Macaca fascicularis: one gene and its partners. The protein of the gene in region 3 interacts with the protein of the main gene of each other region in a biochemical or structural test. Links are inferred from orthologs where the notes say so. Each region holds a gene or a part of one and is shown on either strand. Other genes may lie near its edges. The genes, in order: NUP98, GLE1 and NUP155.

Region 1 (5,091 bases), on a different chromosome or scaffold from region 3:
CAGGCCTTTGCTCAACTATTCCAAAATTTAATTCTCCAGACCTCTGTTAACTTTGATTTTGGAATTATTTCAGGGTTCTGTTGAGAAAATAAGTTAATTTGAATGTTGTAGACTCCACAGATCTATCGAATGTTGAGGTAACTGGTTCCTGTTTTATGTTTTTGAGAACTTTTTTTGAAATTAAAACTTTTTTTTACTATTTCAACGGGATTTGGGGATGTAGAAGATTAAGATTGTTAGGCCAGGCACGGTGGCTCAAGCCTGTAATCCCAGCACTTTGGGAGGCCGAGATGGGCGGATCACGAGGTCAGGAGATCGAGACCATCCTGGCTAACCCGGTGAAACCCCGTCTCTACTAAAAAATACAAAAAACTAGCCGGGCGAGGTGGCGGGCGCCTGTAGTCCCAGTTACTCGGGAGGCTGAGGCAGGAGAATGGCGTGAACCCGGGAGGCGGAGCTTGCAGTGAGCTGAGATCCAGCCACTGCACTCCAGCCTGGGCGACAGAGCGAGACTCCGTCTCAAAAAAAAAAAAAAAAAAAAAAAAAAAAAAAAGATTAAGATTGTTCAGGCCGGGTGCAGTGGCTCACGTCTGTAATCCCAGCACTTTGGGAGGCCGAGGTGGACGGATCACGAGGTCAGGAGATCGAGATCATCCTGGCTAACATAGAGAAACCCCGTCTCTACTAAAAATACAAAAAAAAAAAAAAAAAAAAAAAATTAGCCGGGCGTGGTGGCGGGCACCTGTGGTCCTCGCTACTCGGGAGGCTGAGGCAGGAGAATGGCGTGAACCCGGGAGGTGGAGCTTGCAGTGAGCCAAGATTGCGACACTGCACTCCAGCCTGGAGGACAGATCGAGACTCCGTCTCAAAAAAAAAAAAAAAAAAGGAGATTGTTCATTGTTCATCACCCTTATCTTGAACTGGAAGTTGATATTCTCTTTTATGCAACATGGCTTCTATGATAAACCTTTGATTTAGAACCTTTTTTTCTTGCTCTGTTGCCCAGGCTGGAGTGCAGTGGCACAATCATGGCTCGCTGCAGCCTTCAACTCCTGGGCTCATGCGATCCTCTTGCCATAGCCTCTTGAGTAGCTGGGACTATGCACACACACCACCATGCCCAACTATTTTAGAGAGAGTCTTGTCATGTTACCTGGTGTGGTCTTGAACTCCTGGCCTCAAGCAATCCTCCCACCTTGGTCTCCCAAAGTGGATTACAGGTGTCAGCGAACACTCCTGGCCCACAATTCCTAACACTGCTAAGAGCTAACCATTTCTACAGCATAATCACTTTTTGAAACATTCCTCTGGTAAGGAAACCAGGTCGGAAAGTCCAACTAAGTTCTGTGACCCACTCAGGATCACATATTGAGTCAGTAGTGGAGGGGATTCCAGCTGAGTAACCCTTCTTCTGAGGTGTCTAAGTTAAATGGAAGTTTCAGCCACAGAGCTGACCCACTATGCTTTCTCATCCCTGAATTCCTCAAAGTCTCAGAAGTCTTTGTTCTAATCTTAATGGGTATTTGCTCATATCTTCAGCTTGACAAATCAAAATAAGATCTGGAATAGTACTCATGCTACTCAATTGATTCCTCTTGAAAACAGCCCTGTGTGAAGTAACATCAGGGATCATTATCCCCTTTACAAAAGGGAATCCGACTTAGAAAGGTGAAGCGTCACTCAAGGTTTAAAAACAAAACCACTACAGTAGAAGAGCGAGGAGGCTTTGAATGGTATATTCTATTGGGCAATTTGAGACCTGGAAATCTATATGTATAAATATATGTACAGCAATCAGTATTAATCAATAATCAACTCCCTTGCCCCTAAATCTCCCCTTATAAATCTAGCCTTTGGGCTAATCTATCTCTCAGTTTAGCACCAAATAGTTCTCTCTTTAACCCAAGGCCTGTCTCCATTTAGAAGGCAAATTCAAAAACAGGCTAAATCAAACAAGGCCATCATAAAGATCCTCAGGGCAAGAAGGCTCAAAAATACAAAGGGAAAGCCAATACCAGGAATGCTATAAACATTTTATTTATTTATTTTTTAAGAAAGTAACTTCAGAAAAAGAGGAAAATATCTAGATCATTTATTTATACATATATATATTTTTTAATAAAAACCTTTACATAATCTTCATGCATAAAGACCCAGGTGTGGCCATATTGCCTGAGACAGCCCTAACACCAGCTATCTCATGCCATTACCTGGGGCTCCCTATAGCTGTCAGCAGTGTAGCAAAGGCCCTCTGCCTGCCCCTAACGCCCAACTCCATGCCTGCCTCAGTCATGGTTTGCTTCTGGAAGGGATGATGGAGGGTGGAAAATGCTTTAGAGCTAACATGGGATGAACAGGGAGGGTTACCCAACCTGCCATTTTTAATCCAAACTCTTCAGGCAAATCCAGACAGACTCTCAGCAAGATGACTGAAAACCAGGGACCAAACCAAATTCTGGGAGCTTCCCATAGACATGTCACATATGACCAAGGGCTCCTGCACATAGTAGTAGCAAAGGTATGGTGTTCATGGAACACTAAAGGCAGGAACAAAAGAAGCTCTGAAGATCAATCCCTCCATGGCAGGCATTCACTTCTGCCCTAAGTGTGTCAGAAAGATCCCATTCTGTTTCCTAACTCAGGCCAACCCTCCTCTGCCTCCAAAATTCAGTGTTAACTAACCAATTACTTAAGAGACGGATCCCTCTTCCTTCTGTGGATAGTTCACCTGTTAAGGATCCATTACTACCTGTCTCACTCCTCCTAAGGAGTCCTAGCATAAAAGGGCCAGGGTAGGAGTAGGGTAGCTGGTTGGCATGGAGGGTCACAAGATCCAGAATGGCTAGGGGTGAAAAAGGATTCCCTGGTTCTTTGGGGGATTCTGCCAAAGGAGCTTTATTGACCATTTATTAAAAGGAAAAACACTGGTCTTGAGGATGGTAAAAAGAGAATTGTCTCCTCTTCTGGGTTCCAGAAGCCCTTATGCTATGTTTAGTATTAAGAAAAGCCCTGAACAACTGGAGGATGCTGCTTGTGGCAGCAGGGAAGGAGGGCAGATGCCATAGCCAACCCAGAGAATGGCAAACAGTGCCAATCCAAACAAGGCAGGGAACCTCTGTGTGGTGAGTGTGAACGGGCATGTGAGTGTGATGCAAAGAGTCTGGGGCTCACAGGCTCCCAACAGCGAGTTCTCGCAGATAGGACTGGGTAAGGCTGCGCAGTTCGTCCATGGCATAGTCCTCAGGCATGGGGAGCCGGCCAATGTGGGGAGCCAAGAGGCGCAAAGGGACTCGCTGAGGGTCTGGTGTTGAGTCGGAGGTTCTATCAGGAGCATGATGCAGACTCAGCACCACCCGCAGCAGGTTGGCTACACGTTTGGCCATGTCTAGAGAGAAAAACTAGAGTTAAGCACTGAGCATGGGTCTAGAGAACGGTGGCAGGCACTGAGGGTGGGGTGTAAGATAAAAACAGGAAGCAAGAAGGCAGAAAAAGTGAGGAGATTAGAGGCTTACCTGACTGAGCTAGGCGATCTTTAGCATTGTAACACTGAATCTGCTCTATGCGACTGCACAGTGAAGTCACTTTGATGTGTAACTGCTCCAGGTCATAACCTGAGCAATCCACCTACAAAGAAGCAGAGAAGTCAATTAATCCAAGGGGAGTTCCTATCACTCAACACCACCTATAGACTCTATACAAAACCTTGAAACAACAGTGAGGTGAGGGAGGGGAAAATCCAAGAAGATGACACAGGGTCAAGCCACCACCATCTAGTGGAGGACAAGGCACTAATTATGCAGTAATAAAGAGGAAGGTAACATAGTGTACACAGCCTTGGACTAGGAAAGTCTTGAGATCCCGAACGATACAGCAAGCTTTAATAATACAGCAAGCTTTAATAATACAGCACCAAAAATCAAGATAAACTGGGTTCAGAGAGATGGTATGACTTCTTAAGAGCACACAGGAAGTAAAAAATGCAGCCTGAACCAACATTTAATTTAGGTCCCCTGACTCCAAGTTTATAGCCTTTTCTTTTTTTTTTTTTTTTTTTGAGACGGAGTCTCGCTCTGTCACCCAGGCTGGAGTGCAGTGGCGGGATCTCAGCTCACTGCAAGCTCTGCCTCCCGGGTTCACGCCATTCTCCTGCCTCAGCCTCCCAAGTAGCTGGGACTACAGGCGCCTGCCACCTCGCCCGGCTAAGTTTTTGTATTTTTAGTAGAGACGGGGTTTCACTGTGTTAGCCAGGATGGTCTCGATCTCCTGACCTCGTGATCCGCCCGTCTCGGCCTCCCAAAGTGCTGGGATTACAGGCTTGAGCCACCGCGCCTGGCCTAGCCTTTTCTAAAACACCAAAAAAGCTGGGTGCAGGCAGCAGGAGGATCAAGAGCAAGACAAATTATTTGCTCTCATGAAACTGACAGAAACTAAATAAGAAAACATAAAACAGTAATACATCCTGAAAAATCACAAGCCATGTAGATAATTTAAACAGGTGGATGTTGCAGAGAGAAACTGGATAGCTACTTGAGACTGGAGGTCCAAGAGAGGCTTCTTCAAGGAGGTCATATTTAAGTCGAGACCTGAATTACAAGGAGAGAGCTCAGCTTTCCAGGCAAAGAGAAGACAGCTAAAACTCCCAAAGGTGAGAATTCAAAGGAGATTTACATGGTGACATGTGGGGTAAGGGGGAAAAGCAGAACAAACCAATACTAGAGAGGTTTTATGTAACACAGGCTTTTTTTTTTTTAAAGGGGGGGTCTCGCTATGTTGCTCAGGCTGGTCTCAAGCAACCCTCCTGCCTCAGCCTCCCAAAGTGCTAGGATTACAGTCACGCACCACCACATCCAGCTATGTGCTGGCACATTGATAGTTCTCTTTGCTTAACCCCTATACTTATGAAGCTACAGTAACTGCTGCTTTACTTGTATATATCTCCCCCACGAAATCATTATTTTGGTAAGGGCAGAACACATACTGTTTACTTTTATATTCCCCAAACCCACTACAGTGCTTGGCACACAGTGAGTTCTCCATAATAGTTGTGTGAATTACTCAATATTCAATGAGAAAGTGGTTTCTTCAAGTGAT
Region 2 (5,776 bases), on a different chromosome or scaffold from region 3:
GCTCACCGCAACCTCCGCCTCCCCTGCCTCCCAGGTTCAAGTGATTCTCCTGCCTCAGCCTCCCGAGTAGCTGGGATTACAGACACACGCCACCATGCCTGGCTAATTTTGTACTTTTAGAAGATACAGGGTTTTTCCATGTTGGTCAGGCTGGTCTCGAACTCTTGACCTCAGGAAATCCGCCTGCCTCGGCCTCCCAAAGTACTGGGATTACAGGCGTGAGCCACCCTGCGCCCAGCCATTTTTTTTTTTTTTTTTTTTTTTGAGATGGAGTCTTGCTCTTTCACCCAGGCTGGAGTGCAGTGGCACGATCTCAGCTCATTGCCACCTCCACTGCCCAGGTTCAAGCAATTCTCCTGTTTCAGCCTCCCGAGCAGTTGGGATTACTAGCACCCATCACCACACCCAGCTAATTTTTGTATTATTACAAAAATTAGAGACGGGGTTTCATCACATTGGCCAGGCTGGTCTCGAACTCCTGACCTCAGGTGATCCGCCCACCTCAGCCTCCCAAAGTGCTGGGATTACAGGCGTGAGCTACCACGCCCAGCCATTCTTTTTTCTTTTTTTTTTTTTTTTTTTTTTGAGACAGGGTCTCATTCTGTTTCCCAGGCTGGAGTGCAGTGGCACGATCACAGATCATGCAGCCTCAAATTTCATGCTCAGGTAATACTCCCACCTCAGCCTCTCAAGGAGCAGGGACTATAGGCACCCACCACCACACCTGGTTTTTTTTTTTTTTTTGAGATGGAGTTTCGCTCTTGTTGCCCAGGCTGGAGTGCAACGGTGCAATCTCGGCTCATCGCAACCTCCGCCTCCCAGGTTCAAGCGATTCTCCTATCTCAGCCTCCCAAGTAGCTGGGATTACAGGCATGCGCTACCATGCCCAGCTAACTTTGTATTTTTAGTAGAGACGGGGTTTCTCCATGTTGGTCAGGCTGGTCTCCAACTCCTGACCTCAGGTGATCCGCCCTCCTCGGCCTCCCAAAGTGCTGGGATTACAGGCATGAGCCACCACACCCGGCACACCTGGTTAATTTTTTTGTATTTTTTGTAGTGGTGAGGTTTCTCCACGTTGCCCAGGCTGGTCTCGAACTTCTGGGCTCAAGTGATCTGCCCACCTTGGCTTACCAAAGTGCTGGGACTGCAGGTTTGAGACACCAAGCCTGGCCCAGCTTGAACTGGCCTCAAGTAATCGTCCCGCCTCAGCCTCCCAAAGTGTTGGGATTATGGGCATGAGTCACCACACCCAGCCTAATAATTTTTTTAAAAATGGAAATAGATATGGATATGTGTGTATACATCCTTAGTAGTAATAATGATCATATCTAGTACCAGATCTTGGTTTGTAAATATAATTTTAAATCAAAGGAAACCAGGGGTCTCTGCAGAAAAGGTAAGTTCCAGAGTTGGAGGTAGAAAAATATAAGATGAGCCTGGAACATCTTTGTATGAGAAAATAAGTACTGATTACGTATGATATAATAAATAAATGAAAAAACCAGAGTAGTTGGGAGATTGCTACAACGAGCTAAAGTAAACTGATTGAGCAAATAAGTAAACATATTGAGAATAACAGAAGCCAAACTTCTCACTGCTAGGTAACATATTTACAAAGATGGATGGGGTAAGATTAGATAGAAAGAAATGTGAAGTGCTGGGTTGGAAATGGCATTTATCAGTATGAAGTCATGGTTTTATAATATATATGTACACACAAATAGTTATAGATAATACATAAATGTGTATGTGGTGATATGTGTACATATTTAGAGATGTATTATTTCCTAGCTCTATCTACTGAGAAGGCCTAGAAGCAATGGTACCCAATCAAGAATCTCAACATACTAAACTCCCAGAACTTGGTCTGTAAATACAGCACCACCCTCCACTTCAAAAGAATCAGCCTCTTTGGAGAAATAGCTGATTCCAGGGTTGAGACAGGGAAACTTGCACCTGGGACACCTTTTTGTGCCAAAAAGTAAAGAAATGTCAATGAAAGATGGAAACATGTCAAAGGAACACAGGAGCCAACTTAATGAGTCGCCCAGTAGCCAAATCTGGGACATTTTTCTTTTTAATTCTTATGAATACATAATCGTTGTACATATTTACAACGTTACTTTTTTTTTTTGAGACACAGTCTCACTCTGTTGCCCAGGCTTGAGTGCAGCAGCACAATCTCGGCTCACTGCAATCTCTGCCTCCCGGGTTCAAGCAATTCTCATGCCTCAGTCTCTGGAGTAGCTGGGATTACAGGCATGCACCACCATGCTCGGCTAATTTTTTTATTTTCAGTAGAGATGGGGTTTCACCATGTTGGCTAGGCTGGTCTCGAACTCTTGACCTCAAGTGATCCATCCCCCTCGGCCTCCCAAAGTGCTAGGATTACGGGCCTGAGCCACCACGCCCAGCCTTGCCTGTGATATTTTGATACAAGCTTACAAAATCTGGGATATTTAAAATAAAATAAATAATAAAAGTAATGGATTACAACTCACTGAATAAAACAGAAATCCATGAGTCCATACCAATATAACTAAACAACAGAGAAAAGAAAGCATCTCCTGACGGTGGAACGCCAACTAACAAATGCAGAAGGAGTAGTGGATATAAAGAAACAGGATCTGGCAACGTCATAGAGGTGATCGATTCATGTGGAAAACATCAATGAATGCTAAAGCCATGGAGGATGAAGGTTTGCCCAGAAAAATGATACTGGTGTAATCTCCACAATACTTACCAACAATTACTAAGGGAAAAATGACGAATTTAAACGGAAAGACCAGGCAGATAACAACGTAACCAGGTGATCAAGATTAGCATCACCAGTGTTGGGATGGGTTGACATCTGTGTGCCTCCTGAGAAAGCCATGGCATCATTTCTGTAGTATTCCTGCCAAGACTGCTTAACCTTGGTCTGGTGGTTTGAAAGCACCTATGCTGGCAGTCAACCTACAGAATGTAAGATCTGTATTTTTCAAAACTGTCAACAACATAAAAGACAGGAGAATATTTTAGGATTGTTTCCCAAGAAGTCTGAGGATGCAGAACAACGTCTTATCTGTAGCTAACTAGCAGCGACTCGGGAATGGGAGCTCTGCCTTAACTCTCCGCATCCCTCCACTTCTAGTGTAGAGCTTTGCAAATACTAGGTACAGTGACCACGCCCCCATTCACTTTCCAGGTCTGCCAAATCAATCTAGAAATTTGGTTATTTCACTGGCAGCAACGGATTAGGTCGTGTCAATCGTTCGTCGCAAAATCTAGAGCTCCCAGCACATGAGACACGCAGTAAGTTAACTGAGCCTGGGCCAAGATTGCTTTGACAACAGCAGAGCGGAGAAGGCGCCCAACTGGCGGAGGGTAGCAATGAAGCCTTCAGAGCGCGGGGCACCTGTGAAGTCAGGGGAGCTCCCCGAAACGCTAAAATAGGCTGGAGAGGACAGAAACCCCAGGACAGAAGGATGTACACACAGAAGTCAAGAAATAAATGCAGGTTGTTAGGCTGCACGGGTTCCCGGAAGCAGAACATGCCAAGGGCTAGGGAGGAGAAGGGTTCGGTCGCGAGCGGCCGGAAGGGCCTACGTCCTCCGAGGCCACCGCTCACCTCGCCCCGCAGCAGCCAGTCGCGGTAGTAGCAAAGGCGACCTTTGTCGGAACTGCGTAGAGCCTGCAAGGTCTCCCAGCAGCGACCCTCAGACGGCATGGTAGGATCCGGGGCAGCTTCTCTGAGGCGCCGCTTCTGACCAAACAAGCCCTCGAATCAGCCGCCGGGAAGGCCGCTCAGGCTTCCGCTTCCGGGGCGCAAGTGCAACACAGCCCCGCCCCTAACGGCTGCGTGCCCCGCCTCCGGCAACGCTCCCGCCCTCCCGCCAGTGCGCCTGCGCGCAGGAATTGCCTGTGACTGCAAGTTCTGCGGAGGTAAGCACCAGCTCCCAATCCCCGGGGCTGCAGAAAATTGGTATGTGCCTTGAGAATGTGCAGAAACTGGAATCCTCTTACACTGGTCATGGGAATGTAAAATGAAGCACCTGCTGTGGAAGACAGTCTGGCAGTTCCTCAAAAGGTTAAACAATTACCATTTGACCCAGCAATTCTCCTAGGTAAATATATGTATAAAAAAATACACCAAAGAAATGAAACCTATGCATATACAAAAACTTGTCCATGAATGTTCACAAGCAGTGTTATTCATAATAGCCAAAAAGTGAAAGCAACCCAAATGTCCATCCATTGGTGAATGGATAAATAAAATACAGTACTATGTGTGCAGTTCCCGAGTTCCCCGCTTTCTGTGCACTGACCAAGTATCAGAGTGCCTTGATCGCCCTGTGACCCAGCCAGTTGCAAGTTTTTTCCTGCAGACTTGCAACCAAATACGGGCCTTGCATATCCCCAGGCACTAATAAGGATATCTAAGTTGTTGCCCAAAACGCTGAAACTGACCCGCCTTTAGCCAAATTCCATAAACCCTCATATAAACTCCACACCCTGACCCCTCGCTGGGGATGTACCGAGGTGAAACACCTCTTCTCTCTCGCTATCCGTCGCAAGAATTGCTGCAGCCCACTCTGTAAGTTTCCCTAATAAATGTTTTGGGTTTAGTGCTCCTTTTTTGAGACAGAGTCTTGCTTTGTCCCCCAGGCTGGAGTAGTGGCTCCATCTCGGCTCACTGCAAGCTTCGCCTCCTGGGTTCAAGCGATTCTCCTGCCTCAGCTTCCCGTGTAGCTGGGACTACAGGCGCCTGCCACCACGCCCAGCTAATTTTTGTATTTTTAGCAGAGATGGGGTTTCACCACGTTGGTCAGGCTGGTGTCAAACTCCTGACCTCAGCTGATCCACCCACCTCGACCTCCCAAAGCACCGGGATTACAGGCATGAGCCACTGCGCCAGGCCATAGTGCTTCTTTGGAGTCCCAACCAGCCCTGTTTGGCAGGAGGAAACACTATCTACATAATGGAATGTTATTTGGCCATAAAAATAAAGTACTGATGGTACACTGAAACATCAATCTTGAAAGCATTATGCTGAGATGAGCCAGTCATGAATGGTCACGTTAGACAATTCCATTTATGTGAAATGTCCAGAAGAGACAAATCTATAGAGCCAGAGAAGCTTTATGACTAGTTGCCAGGGGCTGCGGGAGGGGAATGGGGACTGACTGCTAATGGGTATGGGGTTTCTTTTTGGGAGTGATGAAATTGGTTGGCTGGGCGCGGTGGCTCACAACTGTAATCCCAGCACTTTGGAAGGCCCAGGCAGGCGGATCACCTGAGGTCATGAGTTTGAGACGAGCCTGGGCAACATGGCAAAACCCTGTCTCTACAAAAAATACAAAAATTAGCCGGGCACAGTGCCATGCACCTATAGTCCCAGAGGCTGATGCAGGAGGATCCCTTGAACCTGGGAGGCAGAGGCTGCAGTGAGCCGAGATGGTGCCACTGCACTGCAGCCTGGGTGACGGAGTGAGACTCCATTTCGAAAAAAGAAAAAACTAGGTCTAGAATTAGATAATGGTGATGGCTGCACAACTTGGTGAATATACCACAAACCACTGAATTATATATACACTTTATCTTTTCGAGACAGAATCTCGCCACGTTGCCCAGGCAAGAGTGCAGTGGCATGATCTTGGATCACTGCAACCTCCACTTCCTGGGTTCAAGTGATTCTCCTGCTTCAGCCTCTCAAGTAGCTGGGACTACAGGCGTCCACCACCACTCCCGGCTAGTTTTTGTATTTTTAGTAGAGACAGGGTTTCACCATGTTGGC
Region 3 (5,236 bases):
TACAATAAACAGAAGGTAATTATTTGTGGTAGCATAAAACAAGAAGGGAATAGGCCAGGCACGGTGGCTTATGCCTGTAATCCCAACACTTTGGGAGGTTGAGGTGGGCGGATCACTTGAGATCAGGAGTTCAAGACCAGCCTGGCCAACATGGTGAAACCCATCTCTACTAAGAATACAAAAACTAGCTGGGTGTGGTGGTGCATGCCTGCAATCCCAGCTACTCGGGAGGCTGAGGCAGGCGAATTGCTTTGAACCTGGGAGGCAGAGGCTGCAGTGAGCCAGGATTGCACCACTGCACTCCAGGGTGGGCTACAGGGTGAGATTCTATCTCCAAAAAAAAAAAAAAAAAAAAAAAAAAAGAATAGAGTGTTTTGTTAGCTCTGGTTATTCCCACTCTTCTCTCTTGTTGCTATTACTTTGAAGCACTTGGTTTGGTTACTCTATTTTGTTAAAGAATAATTTAAAAGTACAATACTAACAGTTTTGCTATATACAGTGTGCCTTGGGCAAAACTCGTGTGTGTGGTTATTCACAGAGAATGGGGAAGGAGGAGCCACGTAGGGAGTTCAATCCATAAACTATAGAAGGCAGCAGTATCCTTTACTGCAGTGGCTTTCAAATTTGACATGCACCAAAATCTCCTGGAGAACTTGTTAAAACACAGAAAGCGCAGCCTCATCCCCCACGTTTTTGATTCAGTAGGTCTGGGTTGGGGCTCGAGAATCTGCATTTCTAACAAATTCCTAAGTGATGCTGATGCTTCTGGTTTGGAGCACATACTTTGAGAACCACTACTCTAATGGAATCAGTAGTCACAAGGCCAAGGAGCCAAGTAGACACTAAGGGAAAATAGTACCTCCCTGTGTAGCTTTTCACGACACAACATTAGTTACAAGTTTTATCACCTGCTCAACCAACCAGGTATATATATCAATCCTCAAGGGCTTTAACTGACAAAACTAGTTGTTGGAGGACAGTTCTTTCAAGGGTGAACCCAACACCTAAAAAAAGTTTTGAAAAAGTCAGTTATTTGCCTATTTAAGGACAGTTTTAGAATCCACTATTATGGCAATGGATCTGCTTAGCCTCTTTGGAGGTTTTTTATTTTTTGAGACAGTCTCGCACTGTTGCCTGGGCTGGAGTGCAATGGCAAGATTTCGGCTCAGTGCAACCTCCGCCTCCTGGGTTCAAGTGATTCGCCTGCCTCAGCCTCCCGAGTAGCTGGGATTACAGGCACCTGCCACCACGCCTGGCTAATTTTTTTGCATTTTTAGTAGAGATGGGCTTTCACCATGTTGGCCAGGCTGGTCTCAAACTCTTGACCTTGTGATTCACCCACCTTGGCCTCCCAAAGTGCTGGGATTACAGGCGTAAGTCACCGTGCCCAGCCGCCTAGTGGAGTTTTAATGCCAATATCCTTGGACTAACTTGAAAATGAATAATATAAATTCGAAATTTCTGCCCGCAGTACAATTCAAAATAACAGCGTCTAAATTTTTTTAATCCTTACGTTAAAATAGTAAATAATCTCATTTCGGTTGTTTTTTCACTCAATTACTAAAAAACAAAAGAGTAATAAAAAAGAATTCATTTAGAAAAGGTACTATTTGTAGATGTTAGCCACTTATTAAAAACATACTTCCATTAAGATTGTTCTTACATTTAGATTTAGAACACCTGATATCTGGACCCAGCTGAGTTTTTATTTTACAGATCACAAAATGGATGAAAGTATATCACAGTAATTAATGAAGCCGTTCTAATTTAGCCTGAAGAGATTTAAAATTCCCAGTGATGGCTTGTACTGCTACTGACGAGCTCATAGACTGGAGCTCAACAAGGTAACCACAAACAGCATCCAGGCAGAGATTTGTAAATCTTCTCCTATAAAGAAAAAGACACATGATTAATTATACATTTACAAATATTTCCTCCTAAAGGACTCCTTCCCCACCAACTTCTGGCAACTTTAATTCTCACAGAAGAGGAAAGACCATGTGATTAAGTGAATAAGAAATAAAGTAAAAAAGAAAACTTAGTGGGTAGGTGGGTTCCATTTGAAGATTTTTACAATGAGAAGAAAGCAGTAAGAGATGATTCCTGCTAATACTTTTTCAAAAGAATATCCCTTAAAAGGCCAATAATATCGCAAAGACATAATTGAAATGTTTTGGTCCTAGGTCACTAATCTAAAGCAGAAGAAACGAATAAATTATTTATGTTCAGCTGTAGAAAGAATTTAGGACAAGGACTGAAAATGGAAAAAACTCCTATTTTTCATACATGGTGATCAATATCATTCAAACAGTTATTGCTAATATACACAAGAGTTTAAATTCCCTGTACTTCTTTACAATTCCCATATCTTACCATCTTCTCTTCAAATTTCTTACCCAGGTATTTATTAGAAGCATTTAAAAGCTTTTGCTAGTCCAATATTTAATTCATAGGTACCTTTCACAATTTAAAACTTGGCTGGGATTCTCAACATATCTTGTCAATAATACATGTATACAATCCAAAAGGTGCAGTGGCTTCTTCATTCTATTCCAGAATGGATCCTATGAAGAAATATACGTAATGAAATGTGAGGCAAGTTGTGTCAATTGATTCTTTAAATCATTTATACTAAAGTAGACATCAGGGTCCATGCAAAACTTATTGCTATTAAAAAGCATTTAATATTACATGGCTACTAAATTATATATCTGATTATAGTTAATATTTCAAACAACATTAAAAACTTATTAATTAACAACACTATGATATTACTTAGGACGAATATTTGATATACCAATCTACTTTGCACAGCATGTAAATGTCCTGCTTAGGAATCTGAGGTAAGAGAAAAATCTTTCTTTCTATGGGTTGTGACACCACTTTCACTTTGAACCTATGCAGATTTAGTCTGACATAATAAAGAGACTAAACTAGCAGTAACAGAAACTTAATTCTAGGTCTGGCTTCACCAGTTACTAGCTATGTGACTTGAGCAGGTTATTTAACATCTCTGCTCTTGTCTTTTTGCAATATAAGATGGAGATACTACAGTTACCTGCTCATCTCCATCACAGGCTAATGTTGTAAACACTGTATGATGCTACTATAAAAGACACAATCTACTTTGAAAAGTTTTTATTTGGATCTTTTATCCTTAGCATAAAAATTACAAAACATATAGTCTGATAAGGCTCAGCAGGGTGAGAAGGATCTTTTTGACATTTTAGATGAGGTTATAGTAAATAAATACAATGTAATCTTGTTCTTTTAAAGCAAATGATGATTCTTAATGTAATGAGTTTAGCCCACACCTTAGTTTAGCCTCTTCCACCAAGAGTAAAGCATATATGTTTATTAATATTCAGAAATAATATTTCATTTTAATCATGATATACAGGAAAGCAACTCTCATTATCAGTTTAAAAAGTCTAAAGCATAATTTCCAAGACTCAACCAAGTGTAATTAGACTAAGTGATGAGATACAAAAATACAATCAAAATACCCCACTCTATATCTACAAAGTTACTTTAAAGAAAATAATTTTATGTTATTTAATATTTTCCTTACCCGTGATTTGAACAACTGATCATAAACTTCTAGTAGTCTAGGTAATGGTACTCCAATTTCATTCATTGTCTGTATTACGAAGCCCACATCCCAGTTCAAAGAACAAACCTGCTGTTCTAAAAACTGTACAATAAAATCTGGGAAGAAAAAAAAAAGGTTGGAAATTTGGATTTTTAGCTCTTGATACTAAAAGGTAGGTCTTATTCATAACTGAGTAGTTTCTAGGGGGATATCTTCTGAAATCCAATTGCAATTTTTTGGGGCGGGGTTTTTTTTTTGCTATGTTGCCCAGACTAGAAATAGTGGCTATTCATAGGAGCAACTACAGTGTATGATAGCCTTGACCTTGAACTCCTGAGCTCAATCCTCCCACCTCACCTTCCCAAGTAAGCTGGGACTACAAGTATGCACCATCACTCTCAGCTTAAAAGGAAAAAAAATTTTTTTTTAATAAAAGTAAGATATATACCAGAATAGGCAAATCTAAAGTAGATTAGTGGCTGCCTAGGGCTGGAGGGTGTGAAGGAATGGGAAGTGACAACTAATGAGTACAGAGTTTATTTTTGGGATGATGAAAATGTCCTAAAATTAAAATTACAGAACTTAGAAAATTCAGAAAGATACAAGAAGAAAACAGAGACCATTCACAATCCCAATAATGAAGAGGACTTCGCTGATAATTTTTTTTTAGTATCAGTACTTTTAAAAAATATGTTTCCTCGCACAAGTATACATAAGTAACAAACCTGCACGTTATGCACATGTACCCTAGAACTTAAAGTATAATAAAAAAAAAAAAAGAAAAAATATGTTTCCTCAATTTAACAGCTTTTCAGAAAAGGGAAACTGCATCCTGATTTCAGAAATATTAAATGTGTTTTTTAATGCCCCACCCCTAGATTTATTTGATAGTTCTAACTGTGGCCTCATTCTTACTTTTAACTGCCTGTCTTATCATAAACAGTAACAACCAAATTTATACTTATGGCCAGGCGTGGTGGTTCACGCTTGTAATCCCAGAACTTTGGGAGGTCAAGGTGGGCAGATCACCTTCAGTCAGGAGTACCAGCCTGGCCAACATGGTGAAACTCTGTCTCTATTAAAAATACAAAAAAATTAGCTAGGCGTGGCTAATTCAAGACTGACTTGGGCAATATCATGAGATCCCCTCTCTATCAAAAGAAATATATATATATATATATATATATATATATAAATATATATAAATAAACATAGAAATCCTCCTGCCTCAGCCTGATTAGCTAGGACTATAGGCACGTGTTACCATGCCTAGCTAATCTTAATTTTTTCTGTAGAGACGGGGTCTTGGTATGCCCAGGCTGGTCTCAAACTCCTGGCTTCAAGCAATCATCCTGCCTTTGCCTCTCCAAAGTGTTGAGATTACAGGTGTGAGCCACCATGCAAAGCCCACATGATTACTTCTGAATTAAAAGGAAAATTCCTCAAAAAGAACTATGTACAATACAGTGTTATTTATTTATTGAAATGGGGTCTCACTGTGTCACTGAGGTTGGAGTGCAGTGGTGCGTTCTCAGCTCATTGCAATTTTCACCTCCCAGGCTCAAGTGATCCTCCCACCCTAGTCTCCCAAGTAGCTGGAACCACAGGTGCATGCCACCATGCCTGGATAATTTTCGTATTTTC

Evidence for each region.
Region 1: the proteins of NUP155 (region 3) and NUP98 form a complex in vitro, tested with the Homo sapiens proteins (2 studies listed by BioGRID). The link is inferred for Macaca fascicularis from reciprocal best matches to the Homo sapiens genes NUP155 and NUP98.
Region 2: the proteins of NUP155 (region 3) and GLE1 form a complex in vitro, tested with the Homo sapiens proteins (2 studies listed by BioGRID). The link is inferred for Macaca fascicularis from reciprocal best matches to the Homo sapiens genes NUP155 and GLE1.

What each region holds. Positions count from the first base shown.
Region 1 is NC_088388.1:70,595,663-70,600,753, reverse strand, and holds the end of NUP98 (nuclear pore complex protein Nup98-Nup96), read right to left. Parts: intron 3,625-5,091; coding exon 3,513-3,624; intron 3,386-3,512; coding exon 3,168-3,385; 3' UTR 2,022-3,167; downstream 1-2,021. UniProt on the Homo sapiens protein: Plays a role in the nuclear pore complex (NPC) assembly and/or maintenance. NUP98 and NUP96 are involved in the bidirectional transport across the NPC. May anchor NUP153 and TPR to the NPC.
Region 2 is NC_088389.1:15,463,028-15,468,803, forward strand, and holds the start of GLE1 (mRNA export factor GLE1), read right to left. Parts: upstream 3,785-5,776; 5' UTR 3,710-3,784; coding exon 3,611-3,709; intron 2,987-3,610; exon of another isoform or gene 2,744-2,986; intron 1-2,743. UniProt on the Homo sapiens protein: Required for the export of mRNAs containing poly(A) tails from the nucleus into the cytoplasm. May be involved in the terminal step of the mRNA transport through the nuclear pore complex (NPC).
Region 3 is NC_088380.1:37,611,709-37,616,944, forward strand, and holds the end of NUP155 (nuclear pore complex protein Nup155), read right to left. Parts: intron 3,709-5,236; coding exon 3,572-3,708; intron 2,565-3,571; coding exon 2,458-2,564; intron 1,888-2,457; coding exon 1,749-1,887; 3' UTR 1,687-1,748; downstream 1-1,686.